Linked DNA regions of Mus musculus: all the other regions are reported to be linked to region 2. Evidence: microRNA targets listed by miRTarBase, many of them from high-throughput screens and not tested one by one. Region 2 holds a microRNA gene; each other region holds the end of a gene's coding sequence.
Evidence for each region. Region 2 holds the annotated microRNA mmu-miR-3106-5p (UGGCUCAUUUAGAAGCAGCCA, at 2,761-2,781, opposite strand). A microRNA usually pairs through its seed, bases 2 to 8, with sites in the 3' UTR of a target mRNA and lowers its output. Matches are read on the target gene's strand: a 7mer-m8 pairs with bases 2 to 8, a 7mer-A1 pairs with bases 2 to 7 and ends in A, and an 8mer does both.

Region 1: miRTarBase lists Mrpl35 as a target of mmu-miR-3106-5p. Seed matches in the 3' UTR shown: 7mer-A1 at 3,218-3,224.
Region 3: the mRNA of Actr10 is a reported target of mmu-miR-3106-5p. Seed matches in the 3' UTR shown: 7mer-A1 at 1,471-1,477, 7mer-A1 at 1,813-1,819 and 7mer-A1 at 1,883-1,889.

What each region holds. Positions count from the first base shown.
Region 1 is chr6:71,811,763-71,816,837 of GRCm38, forward strand. It overlaps Mrpl35 (mitochondrial ribosomal protein L35), which reads right to left. Exons shown (of 4, transcript NM_025430.3): 4 at 1,235-4,525. The coding sequence ends at 4,337. Among named protein-coding and RNA genes, the nearest start is that of Mrpl35, 9.5 kb to the right of the region's middle.
Region 2 is chr8:16,166,045-16,171,119 of GRCm38, forward strand. It overlaps Mir3106 (microRNA 3106), which reads right to left and starts at 2,794; the gene lies at 2,713-2,794. All of the region lies in intron 23 of Csmd1 (CUB and Sushi multiple domains 1), which reads right to left.
Region 3 is chr12:70,961,116-70,966,190 of GRCm38, forward strand. It overlaps Actr10 (ARP10 actin-related protein 10), which reads left to right. Exons shown (of 13, transcript NM_019785.2): 13 at 752-3,603. The coding sequence ends at 933. Among named protein-coding and RNA genes, the nearest start is that of n-TKctt17, 5.5 kb to the right of the region's middle.

The DNA.
Region 1 (5,075 bases), not on the chromosome of region 2:
GGTAAGAAAGCTTAAGACAAAGTACTTGCTAACAAGCCTGATGACTTAAGTTTAAACCCTTGGACTCCCATGGCCAAAGGAAAGAAGACATTCTTGCAAACTGTCTTCTCATCTCCATGTGCACACTGTGGCACACATCTCCCCCCACCCCGACCCCCAAATTAAATAAATAAAATGTAATATATATAATGTAGAAGGAGTCTAGGGATAGAGCTCAGTTAGCTGAGCGCTTCACTAATATGCATACTGCTCTGGGTTCAACCCCTAGTTCCTTATAAACCAGATATGGTGGAACACAATCTGCAATGCTAGCATTCAGGGGGATTAGAACCTCAAGGGAACTTCAGCTATATAGAGAACAAGGCAGGCCTGGAACATATGAGACTCCATCTCAAAAATACAAAACCAAAGTAAAAATTCTAAGTATAAATGAGTTAAAGATTTTAAACGTGGGAGGTAACAAGGATTAGAAACCAAATGCTTATACTCTCTGGCCTGGAAACTTGGCCCATGTCTACTACATAGGATGGCCCGGAAGAAAAACATCACTGATACATGTCTCACAGACTCAGCTGACGAGACAAATATTAACCTCAAAGTCTCACTATTTTACTGTTTTAGAGGTCAGTGGAAACTGGGAGCCTGTGAAGATATGAGCAGTTCACTGGTGGGCAGTTTTATTTGTATGGGCAGAACTGGGTAGCAGTTTTCTTCCTGAGTTTTTCTTCACTTGCAGATGGGGGATTGCCTATGCAGGTTAGAACAGGCTTGTGTATGTGCAGAGCCACTGTGGATGGTAAAAATGCCCATAGCACTTCTGCATCCCTTGCCTTGAAACTATGAGCACCAGGCACCAGGGCCATCGCTATCATAGTGTCATAGAGAATGCACAAGGTACTGGGTTCTGTCTCCAGCACTGCATAAACAGGATGTGATATAACATGACTTTCATCCATCCATCCCAGCATCCAGAGGTAGGGACAAGAGGATCAGAAATTCAAGGTCATCCTCAGTTACACATCAATTTGAGGCCAGCTGGGGCTAATTGAGACTCTATCTCAAAAACCAACCAACCAACAGTAAGGCAGCAGGCTCACTCTAGCCTCACTGGGAGGTCACAAAGACCTTCAAGTGTGGTCGGTTCTCTTGTTTTTACAGTACACAGACTAGAAACTAAAGCAGCAGATTCAGAGGGCAGAAAACAGGAAGAAGAGATGGGAAGAAAGACTAGAAATCCATTCATTCATTACTCATTTACTAAGCCAGGGTTATGCACCAACAGAGTTGACAGGTAGAGAGCAAAGTCACACAACTCAGACTTGAACGGGTAGAGTATTTACTACTAGTGTCAGATCACAGTCATTTGTTGATCAAGATATGAGTATCCTATGTTGTTAGAAAATCAAAGGAAGTACACAAGATTCCAAAGAGTTAGACAGGGGATCTGGGATGCATTAGCTATATTTTAGAGTAATTTATTTCAGCTTCTATAAGCTTTAGTGCCTTCAATTTATATCAGGGATAAATGATAGCTCGTGTATAAGATTGTATAAGGTTGGCATGAGGTGCAGCAGAGTTTTGCAGATTTGCTTAAATATGACAAGTGTTCAATAAATTACATGTAAATAAACAGTTATGCATACACTTGAACATCATTTAGGCAGGCTCTAAAGCAAACTGCTTTGTTGTCAAACTAAAAACTTGGCTTTGATGAAAGGCTCCCCTACCCACATACAAAAGCTGTATGTATGAAGAAGTTCCCTTTCCATCCGAGGTGTGCCTGCAGCCCTTCTACTTCAGCCTGTGGCCGCTGTCCTCTGCCTAGCCTGTCCTTGGCTACAGGGGAAGCCAAGGCACTGAGGCCATGTAACAGAGATCTGAACCATCCATGTCGACTCTAGAAAAGTCTAAGGCTGTGCAGTGTCTCCCTCCTTAGCTTCAGCACAGTGCCACAGATGTGCGGGAAGCAGGAACTGTGCAGGCGAGGAACCTCGAAAGCCTCACAGCACTCAGCTTCTGCCGCCTCAGGGGTGAGCACAGCACGAGCCACCGGGGCAGAGCCATTGGTGTATGAGGTGCTCAAGTCACACGCCTGCTCTCTATCACCTGCCCCCACACATACACACATACACACATATGGGGTTTTACGACATTCTACATCCCTCTCCATTTAATGAAGAACTGGCTTCAAATGGATAAATTAAAAAAAAATTAAAAAAAAAACAAACCTAAGCTGGGCAGTGGTGGCACACGCCTTTAATCCCAGCACTCGGGAGGCAGAGGCAGGCGGATTTCTGAGTTCGAAGCCAGCCTGGTCTACAAAGTGAGTTCCAGGACAGCCAGGGCTACACAGAGAAACCCTGTCTCGAAAAACAAAACAAAACAAAACAAAGCAAAACAAAACAAAACAAAACAAAAACTGAATGGTCCTCAAAGTCCTGGCCTACCTGCCATCAAAACACCAACTGATTGCCTTATTCTACTAAATGGGGGACTTCATGTTATCATCAATGGATTTCAAACAGTCATTCATCCTTAATAGAATTTTCAATGAGGCAGGCTGCTTTGTTTGGAAATGCTTCCAGATGGTTCTGATGGGAGAGCAGAGAGTCACTCTCTCGGCCTGCAGCATCAATTCTGACTCTCTGTAAACCACGTGTAACTTTTGCATCTTTCTCCATCTGACTACTAACAGGCCCGACCTGACCCTACTTAGCTTCTGAGATCAGACAAAGTCATGTGCATTCAGGATGGAATGGCCAGACTCTTTTCTAAAATGAATGATACTAGCTGGGCGTGGTGGCCCACGCCTTTAATCCCAGCACTCAGGAGGCAGAGGCAGGCTGATTTCTGAGTTCGAGGCCAGCCTGGTCTACAAAGAGTTCCAGGACAGCCAGAGAAACCCTGTCTTGAAAAAACAAACAAACAAACAAACAAAAAGATAAAATGAATGATACTGTTGCCTTCTGAGCACAGCTGACATCAGTCTCATTAAATGACAGGCAACTTTCTCCCTTAGTTTCCACCCTGCGTTTTAGAGAATTCTGGAAAAAAAAAGCTGATCTTTACCAATGAAAATAAGAAATCTTAAGTGGATAAACTTTTTAAAAATTCAGTGCCTTTGAAAAATTGGGCAGAGGCCTGGAGAGACAGTTCAGCATTTAAGAACTGGCTGTTCTTGTAGAGGGCCCAGGTTCAATTCCCAGCACCAACATGGTGGCTCACAACCATCTGTAATTCCAATGCCAGTAGACCCAACAACTTTCCTCTGGCCTTCAAGGGCACATACACACATGCAGACAAAATACTCATATGTAAAAAATAAAAAGTAAAGTAGAAAAGAAAAACTGGGCAAAAGAGTTTATTATATAGCTATGTATTTCAAGAAGGGTATTTGGGAAGGTGATTTATTTTTATGAAAAGTATCCTGTTACAATAAAATTAGTAATAACTGTCATAAATACAAAGAACCCAGGACACAAGATGAAAGTGCCCTGCTACTCTATGTACCTCTAAGGAAAACAGCTCACACCTACCTTTTTACTCCATATGAACCTACTGATACAACTAAGAGAGCCTGGGTGGAGTCCTAGCCACAAACAGATAAGCTCTACATTGCATGATGGCATTGATTCAGACTTACGAGGAAAAGGCAGGATGGCCCAATGAGAGTTCCCTGGCAATTAAGAGAGAAGAGATGACAAGAGTTGAGGGTTGTAATGTTAAAGGGAACCCAAAGGTTCAGGCTGAAGGGAGTCTGAGAGATAGAAACTTTACATAAACAAAAGCCAAGACTAAAGAGAGTGATGGTGAGTAGACACACACACACACACACACACCACACACTCTCACAGTAGAACCAAGGCATAAAGTCCCACCATCTCTTGCTTCATCCAATTCCTGCCCTCCCCAAAGCTGGGGCAGAGAGTTACAGGTAGGAGACAGTGAGGAGGTTCCTGAGTTCCTAGGTATTTATTTTTTAAACACAGCATGTGTCATATTGGGAATAGGCATGTAAGATGTCTGTTTAGCATGTGCAAAAACCTGGATACCATCTCAATTCCACACAAAGGCCCACTGTTGAGCGTCTTTTCGTGTTTTTCCTCATCCAAGATTCCAGAAATAAGGAAAGCCATTACCAGTTTTTTGAAATAATGCACAATAAATTTAACTTTTAGTTCTATGACCAACTCTGGGAATGTTTAATGCACAATGGTGGTAATCTAAGCTTGCCGATCAGCTGGTACAGTTTACAGTTTAACGCATACTCACTTTGCAAGGGCATTATGTACACAAAGACCCACATTCCATAGCTGGGAACTATGATAGCTCTGAACTATACTCGTAGGTTTGTTCGATCGTGGTACATCTGGTAAGGATCGCCAGCGTACCAGTTGCGCCTCTTCCAGAAAGATGTCGTCATTTTATCCAGGAGTTTACTCTGGGTCTTGCTGCAGAACACAAATTCCCTCAAGCGCTTCTTTCTTGCAGTTGACTTTTTCCATAATTTTTTCTTATAGCCAGCCTATGAGATAATGTTCCAAAGACATTTTAAAACTTGCAAAGGCAGCAGCAGATGCTCCATAATTTATGGTATATAGGCCCAAAGAGCAAAGCCAGACCTACAGAGATTGGGTTGTTTCTCTTTGCAATAAGTAACAGGTTAAAAAGCATGTGTAGAAGAGGATTAATAATTTAACACTTTAGAAAGATTATTTAAATTAAAATCACAAGCTAGACATAGGGTACATATGTGTAATTCAAGCACTCAGGAGATTGAGGCAAGAGAACTGAAAGTTGAGAGCCAGGCTCTGCAGATGAAAGCACGCACCACTCTTCAGAGGACCTGAATTCAATTCCAGCACCAATACAGGTGGCTTACAACTATCCATAATTCTAGCTCCCCAGGACCCAATGCCTCTGGCCTCCGTGGGCACCCCACTCACAGGCACAGGCCCACACATACAAATAACTGCAAATAAAATAAATCTCAGGCAGACTGATCTCTGTTTAGTTCAGGGTCATCCTGGTCTACATAGGAAATTCCAGGCTAGCCTGGACATAGTAAGATTTGT
Region 2 (5,075 bases):
GCCTTTTATACATTCAGTGTGTGTGTGTGTGTGTGTGTCTGTGTGTGTGTGTGTGTGAATTTTCTCTCTTTCCTTCTCTTTCTTGCCTGCCCCAAGGAGTTAAAGAAATGCATAATTTTGCAGTGTTCCAAAGAAGTGCCAGTCCCTGTAAAGTAAGCTTTGTACCCTCAGAAAAAAAAGTCTGCTAAGCAGCTTCTCTAATCACTGGATGCCTTTGGCAGCAGCCCCTGTAGGTATCTGGATCCACCCAGGATGGCAGCTCTAAGCACTAACCTCCAATGGGTGCCTGCCTAGGTTTACCCACAACATGGATGCCAAAGCCAGAGTCGTTGGCAATGTTGGGCTCAGGCAATAGAGGAAAGGAATCCTACCTTCTGCCCTGTAGCCAAGGAACTAAATTACTGACAAGGCATTTTGCTAAATGATGGAGTAGAGGCAGGGGTACAGAGGCACAGAGAGATGTCTGGGCACTAGCAGGAAGAAAGCCATTTGGATAGTTCTAGAAGGAAGTACAGCTACCTTACCTAGTCCTCAAACCAGAGTGAAATCGTACTGGAAAGAAAATTCTTGGGCATGATGGAGTAAAAACATTGTGGTATCCAGAGAAGAATGGTAGTCATGGTTCTCAGTGGTACCTAGAGAAGAATGAATGATGTGCAGCCTACCTATGACCTCTGTATCTGTTGAAGCTATCTGACAAAGAAGTGGAGTCAGATGGGTAGGACAGGGGAGGAGAAAGGTTGGGGAATACAAAACACACTGATCCAACACTAATGTATTATTGAACCTGGCTCAGAAATACTGGCATAGAGATGCTGGGGGTGGCACACAAATAACCATAGACTCACAGGGATACAGGGAGGGACACACAGCACAGACCCAACATTTAAGAGTTCATTTGTGGTCCTATGGAATGGATTGGAGTGAGAACAGATAGGAAGGCAGAGTCACTGCAAAGCTATCAAAAGTAGGGTTAGAGGACAATGGTTCAGATGAGATGCGAGCTAATGTGGAGGAGGAAGAGCACAGCTCCCGAGGAAGAGAGCATAGACACTGAGCACAAGACACTGAACCCGGGCCCACCCCTCACTCAGAGATTAGCCCTCACCAAGGCTTCCTGAGACACCAGGAAAGCAAAGAAACCTTTCATTGACGATAATTAGGAGCTAATCTTAATAAACATGTTTCAGAGAATACTCACACACAGAACAAGACATTTCGTGTTCTCTTGGATTCCAATTGGAAAATCAGACTTATGAATTAGCACAAATTGTGACGATTGTCTAAGAACACATTAAGACATGCACCTGAGCCATCCCAGCCAAAGCATGATGCGCTCATTCATGCTTTGGAACTTCCTTGGTTGTTCTTGCTGGCCTTTCCCAATGATGTGTGCAAGCTGTTCATTTCTATCTTTTTAAATAAAGGGAAGGACATATGTGGCAAGAAGGGGCATAGAATATTTTTAGCATCCATGTTGACATTCCCAGAGTCCTTGAAAGTTTCAGGATGACATAGAAGCCACTTAGTTATGTGGCATGGTGCTAATGGCTTTCTACTGTTTCTGCTTAATATGTCCATATATTGTAGCTTTTTTTTTCACATTTAATTTTGATGATAAATTTGAAAGAAAAACCCAATACTCTGATATAAAAGTGAAATTTCAATATTATGCTTCAAAATCGATTTTAATTAAGATTTCTGACTGATGATGATACTTTTGATACTAAACACATCTAATAGTTCACTGGGATCACTCAAATTTCTTTTTATTGATGAAATGTATTTGTGAGCATAGTAACTTCTCTCATGTGTTTTGTGAGCACACGTGTTCATGTGTGTACAGACTCATGTGCATGTAGGAGCCAGACACAGATGTAAGGAGTCTTCCTTAATCACTCTTCACATTACTCTTTGAGACCCGTTCTCCCATTCACCCTATAGCCTACCATTTGGGCCAGACTGCCTTCCCACTGAGCCTGAGCCCCCACCTGTCTTTGCATCCTCACACTTCCCAATCACATATTGCCGTGGATGCTTTGAATGTGGGTTCTGGGAACTGAACTCGAGTCCTCATGCTTGCATGGTGAGCAATTTATAGATGGAGTTATCTCTCTAAGCCAACATATTTGTTATTTCTATATTATTGTTGGGTAGACTATAGTAACAGGTTTTAAAACTAAAGAGACAGGGAGGAAGAGAAACAGACATAGACAGAATGCACAGACATGATTGCTCTCATTATCTACCTGAGGATTCAGGTATATCATCTTTGTTTTACTCATTGGTTACTGAGACTATATTGCTTCAAATACATATAAAGTATATTGCCTATTTCTGATTTATATTGAAGAAGAACATTAGATGCTGAAGAGATAAAAAATATAAATACTTGTTCATTAAGAACTTGTGGTTGGTACTGGTTGAAAACCAACATGTAACAGTTATCATTTGGGAGAACATCATGTTAGTAGAACATCGAGTGCTCACTTGACACACACTGAACACATATTAACTTCACTGGGTAAAACATCATTTATTTCATTGCCTAGGCCCAGCCATGGCTTCCAGGGCTCAGCCCCACAAGAGGTGTCACAGATCCATCAGCGAGTGCCTAAGGAGACAGAGGGCATTCTTGTGTTGGTGGCTACCGGCAAAGGAGGTCACATGCCGAGTTGCATGGCTCCTTCCTTGAGGGTCCGTGGCAACAGGAGAGGAGCACAGGAAAGCCCATGTATAGGCAGCCACTCTCTGAGTGTATGGCTGCTTCTAAATGAGCCACCTGTGCTTCCCTGGGGACAAGGTACTGATGAGAAGCCACACAGGTGAGCCTGGGCGTGGCTCTTCCTTCCGTTTCCCAAATGCACATACAGACAATGCTCATGCTAACACTTTTACACAGGAATTCCCAGGAGAAGGACAGCTGTGACCTCAGCGAACAACATTCCACATTTCATAGCAGAAATACCAGTGTTCAGAATATAATACAGGACAATCTGATGGTTTACACACAGGTGATTTAGTAATTTAAAATGTAACTTCCCCCTTCAGGGGTCTGCTTTTCTTTTCTTTTTCTTTTTTTCAAATTTGTTTTTCTAGGACTAATATGTCAAAGTAGTATTCTTGTTTTCCACTCTGAAATTCCACAATTTATTAAAATGCCTAGATGGCTCTAAGCATCTGCTTGGCTGGCAGGAGAGTCTGTGTAACCGCGAAGTCTTCCCGGACAAAGATGAGCGAAAATTTATAAGATAAAAATAGTTTTATATAACTCTCTAATAAATATTCATTTCACAAAGTGAGACAGGAAGTAAAACTAGATTGAACATAGAATTGCAAGCCTGGAATGTCAGCACAAATGGAGCCAACCTGCAGGGGAAGGTAATGACAAAAGGCGACCCCATCAACGCAGCCCCGATGCCAAAATGCAGCACGCACAAATTCTGATGTGCCTTTAAGATTTAAAAGTCCCTTCAAACATATACTTTCAACAATGTTTCTAAGAGTCTTCAGCATTTTTTTGTGAAATTGAATTACATAATTATTTTTAAAGTTAGGAATAGCCTCAACATGAAATCATTTAAATGCAAATGCTGGAGAGACAATTAGGGAAACATTCAATTTTATATATATGAAGTATAGTTTTTTTAGCATTCAACTTTAATTCCCATTGTCTAAAACTCAGTACTGCATACCTTCATATTGATTTAATTTTCATGATAATATCCAAATTGGCACCTCTAAAAATACTTTTTATACACTCTGGGCAATATATTCTTTTCATCTACTATTGGCTTAGGAGCTTGTGGAGGTGGCTGGTCCTGACCCTGGCAACTTATTTAGGAACATGGTCCTTTATGTGACCCTCTCTTAGCAAGGACTTGCCTGGCCATGACAGAAGACATGGTCCGTGTCATGTGAGGCAGATTACAGTTACCTCCAACATAATCCGAGCAGAGGACTCTAAGGCAGATTGTTAGGACTAGGGTTGGTTCAATCAAGGAAAATGTTCAAAGCCTGGCAATCTCCAGGTTTCATGAGATAGTGTGAGACTGGGGGACTTCTAAAGAAATAAACTTCGTATTCACTTAGGAATTTTAACCTAATCCTGGGAAAGGGGAGGGCAGGTAGCTATGGCAGGGGAGGTGCAACCCCATTTGCCTCCCTGTACTAGCCTGGAGAAATAGCCTGCTACTTGGCCTTCCATGCAGCTCTTAAATGTCTCGGTGCTTGGGTAAGACGCACTTCGGGAGGTTAGACTGCAGCTCTCTTTACTTGCTTCAGTGAACTGGCGTTCTTTTTCGTCATTCAACATCATGCTAAAGACTTCTTTGGTTGAGAGTCATAAGATGACTGTGAGGTTTCCATTGCCCCAGGAACCTGTTCAACTTTGGACTGAGCAATGTAACCAGCACTCCTCATGTTAAATTTTCCCACCCTCTGGGTCTGGAGAGATGGCTCAGTGGTTAAGAGCACTGGATGCTCTTGCAGAGGTCCTGAATTCAATTCCCAGCAACCACAGGGTGGCTGTAATGGGATCTGATGCCCTCTTCTGGTATGTCAGAAGACAGGGACAGTGTACTCAAATACATAAAATAAATAAATAAATAAATCTTTAAAAAAAATGTTTCCCCACCCTAGCTGGCCCATGCCTGCTCCCCATATGCCTCTGAGAGCAGTTACTGGTACAGCTATTAGCAAAGGTTAGGATGTTTTTGATACACCCCTTTAAGGCATGTTTTCCTTGTCAGTCTATAAAAGGACTGTAAGCCATACACTCACAATCCAAGCACAGTGACTTCCTTCTTTCTCACTCTCTTCGTGGTCCCTGCCTGAATCCTGTCCCTCTCTCTTCTGCAGAACCTAGGCTGTAGGCCTAGTCGGTGATAACTTGGGGGGCAAGGTTTATATAACATCCTGTACATGAGGTGTACATGAGCATCTCCTCATGGGGGCAGTATTTAGCATTTGGATATTTAGCAGCACCAAACCAACCCTTACATTTCACTCTTCAAGGAATGGCTGATGGCTTAGTCCCTGGGAGTTCTTTTGGAGGAACCCTCTCATAGAAGCAG
Region 3 (5,075 bases), not on the chromosome of region 2:
TATAGTTTATTTTCTGATGGAGCCAGTGGCAGGATCATGCATGTAGAGAGAAAGCACACAATAGGAATTTTAAGTGATAGTAGTACGGTTTCTTGTGAAGTAGACTTTGGTTAATCTTGGTTTTTCACCTAGATTAGATTTAGAAGCTGAATTTTTTTTTATAAAGATTGCCTTGTGCATTTTTTAAAAGATTTATTTATTTTATGTATATGAGTACACTGTCGCTGTCTTCAGACACACCAGAAGAGGGCATCAGATCCCATTACAGATGGTTGTGAGCCACCATGTGGTTGTTAGGAATTGAACTCAGGACCTCTGGAAGAGCAGTCAGTGCTCTTAACCACTGAGCCATCTCTCCAGCCCTTGCCTTATGCATCTTTGTAAGATTTTTCTGGTATAAAAAAATCTTAAAATGTTTAAATGATATCTGTTGGGTTTTGCAATGTTATTTAATGACATGTAACAGAGTTGTGACAAAGAAAACTTGAGTCTTTCCTAAAGTTGGAAGTCCTTCTACCTCAAGTTATTTCACCTTTTTAAGATTTTGGAATACCATATTCCCTGAAATCTGCAAAGGGTCCTTAGGTTATTTTCAACAGAGGAGTCATGGCTCACCCTGTTTCTCAGAGTGAATCTCATTGAGTTGGAGTTGAGAGCTTGGTCTGCTTGCTGAATTTACCAGTCTCCTCTTTGCGTAGCTTACACTTTCTGATGCATCATCTTAGCTTATGAAATTATTGTCACTACACAGGGGCTGTTTTTGGAGCATTGCAAGACATTCTTGGGAGCCGCTCCATTTCAAAGGAATACTATAACCAGACGGGCCGCATACCTGACTGGTGCTCTCTCAACAACCCTCCCCTGGAAATGATGTTTGATGTGGGGAAAGCGCAACCACCGCTGATGAAAAGGGCATTTTCCACTGAGAAATAAACGCTTGAATACATCCAGCCTTGCTTATTTCAAATATTTAATCAATTAGAGGTAAATTGTACAAAGTATGTGGGATGATTTAATATATAGAGGTGACCTTTATGTTACAAAGCATTTCTGTATTTTCTCTTTGCATTAATATTTAATTCATCTGACTTTGTCTCTTGTGTCGTATGTCGTAGTGGATGCTTGTGAGATATGTTGTATTTATATCAATAAATATAGTTAAGCTATTCAATTTTATTAGTTTATTATGTAGTGCAGTTTCCTCCAGTTCCCATAATCTGCCGAGTATTAGAAACCCCCTAATTTTACTATTTTTAGTGATAGATCCAGGCCATGAATGTTAGCCTTTGCAGTCATTTCAGGTTCTTTTTAAATTTTTTTAAAACTATATATGTATAGGAGCGTGTGTGCATATGGATGCAGGTGCCTGTGGAGACAGGAAGCATCAGGTCCCTGGAGCTGCGGTCATTCTGTTGAGTCATGTGCTGTGATTTCGAGGAACCAAAATCAAGTCCTCTGGAAGACATACGCTGAGCCACCTCACCAATCTGTTATTTCACATTCTAACATGATCTGTTTCTTAATCCTTTGTTTCACTGTATGCCCATGAAACTTCAGATCTTTCAGACTGTTTGATAGCAGGGCCAGGCATTCACTATGCAAGGTGTAGAAATAGATACTTTTGAACTTTATGTTCAAGAGCATGAAACCTCTACATTCCTACGAAAAGTAATTCACTCTATAATTTTCTTTTTTTTTTTTTTTTTTTACTTTTTTTTTTTTAAAGATTTTATTTATTTATTATATGTAAGTACACTGTAGCTGTTTTCAGACACACCAGAAGAGGGCGTCAGATCTCGTTACGGATGGTTGTGAGCCACCATGTGGTTGCTGGGATCTGAACTCTGGACCTTTGGAAGAGCAGTCGGGTGCTCTTACCCACTGAGCCATCTCACCAGCCCCCTATAATTTTCAATAAATATATTCATAATGAAACTAACCATTGCTCTTGTGCTTTCTATTTTAGCACAAGGGTTTTTCAACTAATGAACTCATTTGTTGTTAAACTTTTATTTGTCCTCATTTGTTTAATGAACTTCCTCAAGACGGGGTGGGTGTGTGTGTGCGCGCCTGCGCACTCATGGGTAGGAACTAACACAGGTTCTGGTGTGTATACTTTAACTCCACACATAGTCTAATCACTTTGCTTTTTGAATATTTCCAAGTTTTGCCATATTCTTTACATATGAAGATACTAACTCTTGAAGAAAATGGCTTCCTGCAATAAAAGTAGGAAAAGAAGAACCCGGTAGCCAGGCAGTGGTGGTGCACACCTTTCATCTCAGCACTTAAAAGGCAGGGGCAGGCACATCTCAGGCCAACCTAGTCTATAGAACAAGTTCCAGGACAGCCAGTGCTATACAGAGAAACCCAGTCTTGAAAAACCAAAAAATGAAGAACGCCTGGTATGGTGATGTACTCCTGTAACCCCAGCAAGTGGGAGGCAGAGGCAGGTGGGTCTCTGTTATGAGTTCAAGATCAGCCTGGTCTATATAGTGAATTCCAGGCCAGCCAAAGGATTCACAGTAAATCAGATATAATGGCTACATTTCTGTAAAGTAGCTCTTGGGAGTTAGAGGAGGGGTGATCAGGAGTTCAAGGCAACCTCAATTACATAGCAGGTTGGAGCCCAGTCTGGTTTCTATGAAATTCCATCTCCACAAAATAATTTTTAGAAGGAAATGAATTCTTTGCATTTGTCTGTTTGACTTTAAAATACTTATATCTCTACTATTCTACTTACCCTTTCCTACCCAAAGACTAAGATTTACTGATACCTACTGACCATCTGTGTGCCCTGTGTACTTGTGGGTGCTGTGAGCAGTAAGATGTGGACAATTGCCCTTTAGGGGTCAAAGGCTAATAGAAACAGATTTGCACACCAATGGTCACACAAAAGCTATCAGTGTTGCTACTGATACTACTTTTGGCCCTGGAGAAAAACCATTTGGGAGAACTTTGACCTGCTTCCTAAAGAACAGGTAGTGGGAACTGGTTACTTCGGGTTATGTGAGCAGCACTCTACACTCAAGGCAAATGAGCTGGGGTGCTGGAGGTAAGAGTAATAGTAAGATGAGATCTTGCTAATCCCGACTTAAGGAGAAGTTAATCTGAATTTCATGTTAGTAATGAAATATCAGCTTGGCCGCCAAGTTTCCTAATGTGCTTTGTCCTAAAGGTGATGGTGATGTCTGTCGTCCTGAGCACATCTGTCATAGGCACTGATCGTCATTGCTTTGACACTGTTGTCATCTTCTGTCTGGAGCAGAAGCTCCTAAAGGACAGGGCTCAGTGTCTTTGACTTTGAGCATGCTAAGGCTCAGAAGAAGGTACACTGTAAATACTCAATTTACATGGACCCACTATTTCGATAACATCTTTTTTTGCAAGAAATATTTTAAGTCCCCAGTTGTGCATGCTGGCACGCATATGGAGTCTGTCAGATGTAGTATTATCCAAACCCAGGAGTTCAAGACCAACTTGGGTTCTATACTGAGATCCTGATAACACACACACACAGACACAAAACCCTCTACTCTGCATTTGTACTGATTTTGTCTTGTATTTGGATTAAGAAAATAAAAATGATCATTTAAAACGAAATCTGATTGCTCTGCAGCCTTATATAACTACCTATAAAGTGACAATCCCAAGGAACAGGTTAAGAATTTACTACTCACGGATTGTATTATGTCACCCAAAAAAGACAAGTTGGAGTCTTAACATTTAGTGCCTGCGGACGTGGCTTTACTTGGAAGCAGGATTGTAGATGTAGTCAACAAGATAACAATGTTGTGGCCCACATAGCATTGCCACAAAGCACAGGAAAACTTCCAGAGAAACAAGTTTTTACACAGATCACAAGTAAGTTTGAGTGGGCATAGTGTGGTACATGTATAATTCCAGCAATAGGGACGCTAAGGCAGGAAGATCATGAGTTTGTTGCCAGCCTGAGCTGCGTAGTGAGTTTGAGGTTGTCTAAGTAGATATCTGATTGGCCATTCATGTTTGACATTAAGAGCTGTAATTCAGACACTTGGGAGACTGAGGCATAAAAGGACTGTCGAAAGTCAAGCCTGAGCTATACAGAGAAACCATATCTCAAAAAACATGGAGCTCAGAGGTAGAGAGGAATGTCTGTGAGTTCAGGGCCTGATCTAAATATGGAATTCCAGGCCAGCCAGGGTAACCCTGTCTCTTTTTTTTTTTTATTTTTTTATTTTTTTATTTATTTTTTTTTTTTTTAATTTAAGAAAGAGAACTGGGGGCTGGGCAGGTAGCTCAGCAGTTAGAGCACTAAGATGCCCTTCTAGAAGTCCTGAGTTCAATTCCCAGCAGCCACATGGTGGCTCACAATCATCTGTAATGGGATCCAATACACTCTTCTGGTGTGTCTGAAGACAACTACAGTGTGCTCATATGTATATAATCTTTTTTTTTTTAAAGAAAAAGGAAGAGAAGTAAAAGAAAAGAGAAAAGGAAGGAAGGAAGGGAGAGATTTGAACTATCAGTAAAAAGTGAGGATTCCTAAGCAGAAAGCTAGCATTTGAAACTTGACCCCACCAAGGATATGTGTCTATCAGAAGGTCAGGGATCTGGGCCTTTTGCTGTTTCTTTTAAAACTCTGGTCAGAAATAGTGCCTCCGTTTAAGTTGCATACCGTACATAGCAGCCCCAAGACTATATAAGAAGAGTTTCTTACACATGCTCTGAGCAACTGCACCCTAGGGAAGGACAGTTCACTGGAGGAGGGCCTAGCATCACTGGAGCAGAGTTCACAGGGGGGGGGGGGTGCAAATTTAGCAAGAGGGAAAGTGAACTCATCCATGGAGCACTCCAAAGGTGGGAAGTAGGAGAAAATGACTCAAGTGGGTGGCCAATCACTGGAGTCTTCATCCAGCAACTGTTGGAGCAGATGCACCAATGGCCAAACACTAAGTGGAGCTCCAGGAACCTCACAGAGAAGGGGAGGAAGCACTGTAGGAGCCAGAGGGTTCGAGGAAACCAAAGAACACGGCCAGCAGAATCAACTAAGCAGGGCTCATAGAGACTGAAGCAACAATCACACAGCCTGC